2 linked regions of the Schizosaccharomyces pombe genome follow. The protein of the gene in region 2 purifies or fractionates together with the protein of the main gene of each other region. This does not show direct contact. Each region holds a gene or a part of one and is shown on either strand. Other genes may lie near its edges.

Evidence for each region.
Region 1: the proteins of wat1 (region 2) and tco89 purify together in Schizosaccharomyces pombe (affinity purification with mass spectrometry, with the first as the bait; one study listed by BioGRID). This does not show direct contact.

The regions. Positions count from the first base shown.
Region 1 is NC_003421.2:1,552,094-1,556,691, reverse strand, and holds tco89 (TORC1 subunit Tco89), read left to right. Parts: upstream 1-2,194; 5' UTR 2,195-2,496; coding exon 2,497-3,244; exon of another isoform or gene 3,245-3,303; coding exon 3,304-3,911; 3' UTR 3,912-4,098; downstream 4,099-4,598. Other genes in the region: urk1 (uridine kinase/uracil phosphoribosyltransferase), read right to left, coding at 1-247; zinc finger C3HC-type containing RNA export factor Rsm1, read right to left, coding at 4,108-4,598. UniProt on the Schizosaccharomyces pombe protein: Component of TORC1, which regulates multiple cellular processes to control cell growth in response to environmental signals. Tor2 is essential for growth. Nutrient limitation and environmental stress signals cause inactivation of TORC1.
Region 2 is NC_003423.3:1,661,251-1,665,086, reverse strand, and holds wat1 (TORC1/2 complex WD repeat protein Wat1/Lst8), read right to left. Parts: upstream 2,147-3,836; 5' UTR 2,141-2,146; coding exon 1,196-2,140; 3' UTR 727-1,195; downstream 1-726. Other genes in the region: vacuolar transporter chaperone (VTC) complex, GTPase regulator subunit Nrf1, read right to left, coding at 137-505; myosin-binding vezatin family protein Inp2, read right to left, coding at 2,698-3,836. UniProt on the Schizosaccharomyces pombe protein: component of both TORC1 and TORC2, which regulate multiple cellular processes to control cell growth in response to environmental signals. Nutrient limitation and environmental stress signals cause inactivation of TORC1.

The sequences.
Region 1 (4,598 bases), on a different chromosome or scaffold from region 2:
TGGCTTCGGGGGAATCAAAGTCATAGTCGTTGTTAAATGCTCTCTTCTTCTGCTCTGCATTCAAAGATTTGTAAAACGAGTCAAGGGATAAAATAACAACATGTGGAAGATTTAACGCCTTTACAATCAATTGGGCCACCGAGGTTTTCCCACTACCCGATGGTCCTGCAATTCCAATAAATCGCACTTTACGCCATGGGGGTTCATAAGTTGGGTTGCTTGAATAACGCTCAAAAGCTTCAGGCATAATAACGAAAGAAATAAAATAAATAAGAAGCCCAAAAAAAAGGTATGCTAGCCTCCAAGGAAATATTACTAAAGAAAGTTTAAAAAAAAAAAAACTGTAGAGCAAAAAAAGACTAATTGGTGAACCTAACGTTTTTTAAAAGGTAAATTCTGTCTTGGCGTGAAACGAAAATATTCCACAATTTGTAGAGCCAAAGATATTTATTCAAACAGAATTAATTCAAGTAGAATGATAATGGTTTCCTTATCTTACTCTTCTCAAACTTGCTTAGTTTTTTCTATAAATCACAAATCTCGAGTTAGCAATACCATTAGAAAAATATATATATGTATACGAACCCAAAGGAAGGAAAAATGTTAGGAAATTTTAACATAAATAGAAAGATTTTCGAAATGTCTTTTTAAATAACTAGTAAACTAGTTGAAACAATAAATTGGAGAAGGGTAAATCCAATATCATTGTTTTTTCATCCTTTGGTAACATTATCACTGTGACTTTTTCAGTCAGCGCCTGAGCCGCGGTAATCATCGGGAATAAAGAAAGAGCAGTTTGTTTGTAGAACGGAAGTGAGAAGTTTTTTTGCAATACCTATTACTAAATTAATGAATTATATGTAGATTTAAAAGAAATCCGGCAATTAATATTCGAAATTAATCAATTTTGACTATGTGAAAATTGTAACATTCGTGACATGTTGGAAGCTTGTACCAAAATTTGATATTTAATTTAACTTTAAAAATGTATTTAATAAAAATAGGCGACAATAAGGAAATTTAACATATTGGCTCAAATTCAAAAACGCAAGAGAAATCTTGCTTTGTTTATATAAATAACTAAATCAACACGACTAATACTTAATACGCATTTCTTAGAAAAACAGATTCAAATTATTTTTTACCTTCCAAAAATGATGAAATAAAAAGAACAGCTAGGTTGAGATCGTCTCAAAGTTCAATAAATGATTTTGCCGCTCGAAGATTTAGATTGTAGCTTTGCCATTTTTTTTAAACCTAAGAGAACTGACAAAAAGGAATATGAAAGTTTCTTTTGTGCAGAAGAACCAAGTAAATGGACATAAGTTTATGGCAGGTTTTATGATATTGAGAACTCGTCGCTTTTGTTCGTAATAGGCAATTAATTTCAAATTAGAAAATAGTATAAAGGATATTCAGTTTGACCCATCAAGTAGAGTAATCCGCTATTAATGGTGTGAAAAAGTAGAAAAATTTGAAAAAAGCGTACATTTTCGAATAGAAACCCATTTACATGCTTACTTAGCACACGCAAAATCCTTAAATTTCTCTTCCCTATATCGAGAGAAGTGAAAATATAGAATAGTGAATGCATCAAACGCAAAGATTTGAAGCCGGTGCAATGTTAAACATATTTGACGGCTAATCGTCACAAAAAAATGACATTGATGACCTCGAATTGCGCAAATTTTGACTTCATATTTAAAACTCGAAACTCATGAATATTAAGCCTAGATAATTTGTTCGCATAATTTCTTCTCAATCCCACAAATTAATTATCCATGTATCGATAGCAATGGAATCAATTGATTTATTAAATTAAAGTAGATATCTTCCCCTCCTCATTTGATTAGAAAAAAATCCTTGAATTTCACATCACATTTACTCGAAAAGTTTTATCATAAACTTGCTGTAGAATTGAAACTGTAACTGCAATTTAAACCAAATAAAACGCTTTTTAAAATAAACAAAAGAGTACCACATGACTAAATTCCTCATCTTCCTTTTACCAACGTTTGTTGTAATATATTACCCATGCCTTTAGTAATGATAAATTGCACTTATTGAGCTAGAAAATAGTGAATTGAAATAAATCTAATATTTTAACAAACGATATCACGCTATAGCCGTTTTATAATATTTGCCATCTTTTGTTCGTTTCACATTGACACACCTCCATCCTCTCTTTCCTTTCACCTATCTTGGCGAACGAATTCTTAACCTGCTAATTTATTCACTTCAGGAGTAGGAATTGACAAGTGAGAAAAATTAATAATTAAATATTTTTTTTAATATCGTTCTTTTACATTATTGATCCATTGTTTTTGTTAGTCATAATTGGGAATTGACTAGCTTTTTATTGGATTCCTCTTCATGTTCATATTTTACTCAATTAATCATTTCAAAGGTTAATTTACAAGCGTTTTGCTTGTATTCGTTTCTTCTTCATTTTCTTTCTAAACAGTTCCCCAAAGAACCCTCATTTAGACGTTTAGTATGGAACGTCCATCCCTGTCGAGAAGAACGTCCTCTTCTACAGTAAGTACAGATGGTGAAGGGGTTTACTCAAGATCTACTAAGGAGCGTAAGCGGAATTTTATTGTAAACAGTAGGCTTAAGCGTGGTGGAGGTCATGTGCGAGTCAACCGTTCAGGTAGATTGGGCAGTGTAACTATGAGACCTTCTGCTTTAACTCGAGCGCATTCTCAAAATCCAAATAGTAGTTTGGTAAACAATTCGTCCGCCGTGTCCCATCTTACTAAACAACGATCTCTCAACGACTTGCATGAACTCAATGGTCCTAAACACGTAGCCAAAAATGGATTAATACCACTAACACAAAGAAAACCAAATTGTGTTTGGGACGATGCTCCAGTTGACAATGATTCTACTGCTGGTAATTTGGATTCGGACAGTGCGCTTCCTACGCCTTCTGTCACTACGAACGAAGCGGCTGATTCTTCAAGAGCCAGCTCTCCTGTCACCAGAGTTGTTGCTGTTCATGATAACAAAAAGAAAATCATTAATTCGAATATTTCAAATGCTCCTCCCTTTAATAATACAGATGTTCAAGCTTCTGCTCGTCCACCCGCTGCCGGTCAAGACGATTCAGCTGCTGATGCTAGTACCACAAAATCGAGCCCAGTACATAATGAAGTTATGGCAGAACCTTTACCTCATTCGAATAATCGCGAAGTCACTCAGGCTACAAATCAGCCAAAATGGCAAATTCATTCGGGCTCGGGTAAGTCTTTAATCGATGTTTCATCAATTCATATTACTCATATATTAACTTACTTTTAGATATTGCTAGTGAACCCCCTACACTCTCTAGAGGAAATTCTTTATCGTTACTTGCAAATCGAAAAGTTCCTTCCACAAATGTAAAAAAGTCGCAGGCTGAACTTTACGACCTTGGCTCTTCCACAAGTAGAACCCAGCAAAAGCTGTTGATTCAACGTGCATCTTCTAAATTTGACATAGTAGAAGATGATATGGATACAAACCCTTCTAAACGGTTTTCGAACCCTCATACAAAGCATATTATGGACTTAGTCCGTACACAATATCGGAATGTTTTGCGTACGCGTGAGTTGATCCCTGAATTCTTAGAGAAAATAAGGTCCTCCTATAGTAACAATCAGAATTTCGACTCTCAAAATGCCTTCAATACTTCTGCGGCAGGTACCGCTGGAACTAGGGAGGAGACAATTAGTAACGGACAAAACGGCATCGTCGCTTCTGCCGAGACTTCGAAGAAAGATGATGGGGTACAATCAGCTTCTCTTAATGCATCCATGAGTGCACGTAGTCATGCTAGACAGCGCTCAATACATGTGCCAAAAACCAGAAAAGACACTGATTATGAATCGATACATCAGAAATTGCTACAATTATGGTCTCAAGGGTAAAATAATTGTACTATAATTTTAATCTCAATCTCTCGCCCTTAGATTCCTATATTAGTATTTTGTCAAAGAAAAACTGTCCCTCAATTATTGTGTTTAAATATTTACTTTTTTTGTTATTTTGATTTCGAATAGTTTTTTGAAAATAAATTATTTGCGTAGCAGTCATTGCTAAAGTCCTAAATACCTGTATGTCCATCTACCGAAGTCCTTGGAGCAAACTAAATGTGTAATCTGTATACTGTGAAACATCCATAGTTTTTGTTGTACTTTGGAATATGGATTCTTTGCACAGAAGTTCAAAAATTTGTTGCCAACCAAGTAAGTCAGTAAAGGGTTGAGGGATTACCCATGGACAGCTTTTTTTATGTTCTTCCAATACGTCGAAATCTTGTCCTTCACTTTGTAAATTCCAAACACCCAAACGTCTGTGACAGTAGTTACACACATACAAACGACCAGGAACTTGCTCACTCCATCCAGTCAATGCGATGCCAAGCAAAACAGCAGCGTCCTCTTTCTCCCAATCAACACGAATTTTATTTGCAACCTTTTCAAGACGTTTTAAGGTCATCTCTTCAGGAAGATGCGTAGATACCAAGCGAGTGGACAGACTGTTAAACCGTCGTCCGACCTGAACCAGTTCGGCAGATACTGATAAATGATAAATGTCTGGAGGAAATTTATGTA
Region 2 (3,836 bases):
TTAAGCCTATCAAACACTAAGCTTAAAAACTTGGAATGGAGAGTAAGGAATCCTCATTTTCATATTTGTGAAGTTATGCTCAGACGATAAGGCTGAAATATCGCGAAAAAATCTCCAAAAAATGGACTTAATCCTTTCAAAATAACATACGAAGAACAAAGTTGGTTATAATAGCTGCCAACAAAACAAAGCAGAGAATGGTAGGTCCCAATCGATCATCGTAAGGACCACTTCCGCGTCGTCGAATAGCAGATGCTCTCCAGTGGTAAATACCAAGAGCATAACCCATGGTACCAATAGCAACAATAGTGAAAAGTCCTGCACTAATCTTACCAATTCGATCACCAAAGTTAAGTAAACCAACTGACAAACCACCCAAAACTACTGCAAAGCTCAACCAAGAAAGGAAAGTACGTTCATTAGCGAAAAAAACTTTAGGTTCAACACGAACAGGAAGAGCAATTCTTTTACCAGGAGTAGTTTGTAAAAGAGGTTGAGTAGACATTGTTAGTGGAAAGAGTGAGCTATAAATCGAAGGTTTTTTCTCCTCGCGAGATTAAGTATGTGCTGGCTGTGAGTTGTGGTTAAGGTCAGCTGTGTCGAACGGCCTAGAAATTTTTTTCGTATCTTACTACGGTAAGTCTCGGTAAGTTAATTAGCAGATTTAGCGAGACTAAATTCTTCAAATTTTGCATTATCAAATTCGCTTCTTCGCTAACCAGAAAGCTAATGAAGATATACATTTCATTTCATTTAAGGACACGAGGATATGTAACTTTTCCTACTTAATCCTATCATGTTTAGAGATAAAAGTTGTAAAATAAGTTAAACTACACTAATAAGCATTGAAAATTTTCAAAAGTTATCATCACTTAAGACTATTATTTATCATAAAAACTCCGAGATATGAAACTAGCAAATACTGTATCAAGGGAAGAATATAATTTATAAAAAATTTGTAAGTGACTAAGAAATCGTCTTGAAATCAGACACACTTAATATAAACGAATGTTGACAAGACAAGACTCTTGTTTTCCTAAGAAGATTGGTGAATAAAATCTATATAGCAAAGGTAAAATAGGATAAAGGCGTGTAATAAACTTGAATATATAGAAGTAATTTTCCAACATCAGTTGAGCTAAAAATACAACAAAACATAACTCGTAAACTTATTTTGAAAAATGCTTTGAAACACTTAAATTTGGTAGTCATTAAGAGCAACACAAACAGCAGCTTTGTGATGACCCGAATACTGACGGATTGTTTCACCACTCGATAACTCCCAAAGCCTTGCAACATGATCAGAAGATGCGGTTACTAAGTAGGTAGAATCAGCAGAAAACGCACAATCCCAAACCCATCTTTGATGCCCTTGAAGTCGTCTCTCAAGCATAAATGACATATCCTCCGTACTCCATATATTCACTGTAGCATCGGCAGAACATGTAGCAAGGTGTTTGACATCAGGAGACAAGACGCAGCGAGTGATATAACGCTGATGAGCTTGAAATTTGACAACGGGCTGAAGCAATGAAGCACCCTGATGATTTAGCATTCGCCAAACGTAGCAGTTTCCTTTGTTGTTCCCAGCAATAAGCATACTACCATCAGATCCAACAGTAATGCTGCTCATAGGTACATCTTCTTCCGGAATAAGTTCGTGTGTACAAGAATTCTCTCCTAAATCCCATGCACGAACTCGTCCACTTTGGTCGCATGAAAGCAGTTCACCTTGATTTGGATGAATTAACAAGTCATTAACAGGAGATTTATGATCATAGTTTCGCTGAACTGAAGGGGCTCTCATATCCCACACCTTTACTGTTCCATCCTCGCTCGATGTGGCAAGCCATTTACCATCACAATGAAAAGCGATGGCTGTAACATTATTGGTGTGCCCTTCAAAGGTCATTAATGGCATTTGACTACTAGTGTTTATGTCGTACAATCTTACATGAGGATTTCCGGCGGCTGCTAGAAACTTCTTATCAGGTGAAATACATAAACGATTTACCTGAGAGTCCGCATGTTGTATTGTTCTCGAGCATATTCCACTTAGGGCTTCCCAAAATCTAATGGTATGGTCATATCCACTGCTGACGAGCAGAACAGAATGTTGTGGTGGATACTGTACTGACATGTGGTTAAAGAATGGAGCGCTGTTATACTGTAGTTATTAAACAAACTCGAATACAGAGAGAATTAATGACTGAAAATTTTTAAAATCAATTAAATATGTTTATATTATATATTTAGTAAATTTTTTGTAGCATGACTTGTAAACGCACGATTGGCGATCTATACTTTAAATCTACAGCCATCAAAACTTTAAAAAATTTAACAGTTTTGACCATAAAAACAGGAAAATTCATAGAATAATAGTAAATTCATGTTAATTTAATTTTTTAAAAAATTGCGCCTGCAATAAGTAGCATAAGCATAAGTGTAAAGATAAACTGGTATAACTAAAATATTATACAGGACGAAAGGTTAAGGCAAATTTTTAAGCAACAAAGACATCATTGCTGAGTTGAACGACATTTAAACCTAGATAAATGTCGATTTGTAAATAGTTTATAATAACTATCCTAACTATTAAAACCAACAAGGTTCCGAAAGACGTATAACAGAAACGGACAATAATGGATAAAAAAGATCATAAAAGCAAAATATGGTTTAAAATTCTGAAAGCCAAAATTATTTACGCTTTCGGTGCATGTGTTGCAAGTTGAGAAGTAGTGCTCTATTAAAGTCCCATTCAGAGAGCAAATCTTTGAGCAGTAAACCAACTTGATCATATTCATCCATAGCATATGTCTGCATAGCTGTATTGTCTCCTTCTTGAATATATGAGCTGATAGACTCATGAGTTTCCATCATTACAGAGTGCAACTCGTTAAAAAGACTGCGCAAATTTTCTTTGCACATGATCCTGGGGAAAGGTTTGCTAGTAGTGTTATGTTGATTACGGTTGACCGATTCAACTGAAAACTTTAAGATGTCAACGAGACGAACCATCGACACAGACAATGCATTAGAGAGGTCACCTACCTCCCGGTGAACAATGAGCCATGAAGACCTTTCAGCTAAAAATGAATCAACCGGAAACGATAGTATGCAACATAGAACTTGCTTAGAGATTATAGTTAATTCATAATAAGCAGTTTTGATGTGATTGAGAATTTGGGTGGATTGGTCATCAAAGTCTTGGTTTTCTTTACGGGCTAGGTACATGGAACTCCGTTTTAAGCTTGTTGAGGAACCTTTTCGGAGGTCAAACGAATTTAATTTACCAAAGCAATTTGGAAGTCTATATAGTGATAATAGGTTTCTAAGGTTGGAAGCAGCTGCATACGGATATATTCTTGACAGAACCAGCTGGTATCTAGGTAAAAGCTTCTCATACAAACCAGACAGTTCGTAACTTAAAGTATTTTGTTCCGTAAGATTAAACAATAAAGGATCATTGGCAGGAAGGAAGTCCATTAACCGGGAGCGATTTGCTGCCGAATTTGCTTCCAATTCACAAATTTGGGAGTAAACACGATTAGATGTAGTTTCAAAATCATGCAATAGATTGACAAACTTATTTAAGCTGGATAATCCCATAATACGAATAAAATATGTCCAGCAATGACAAATCCGTATGAGCGAAGAGAAGCAAATATAAGATAAGGCTATTATCTTCACAAACTTTAGATAATGAAGACTTGCCATTGCAGATGATAATTTGTATAAAACAAAATCTATTACAATTTGTAAGCTCAGCAGATAGGCGAAGTATCTCCAAAACTTGCTCGTAGAACTGAACGATGAAGAAGGATAAACCAAAGAAG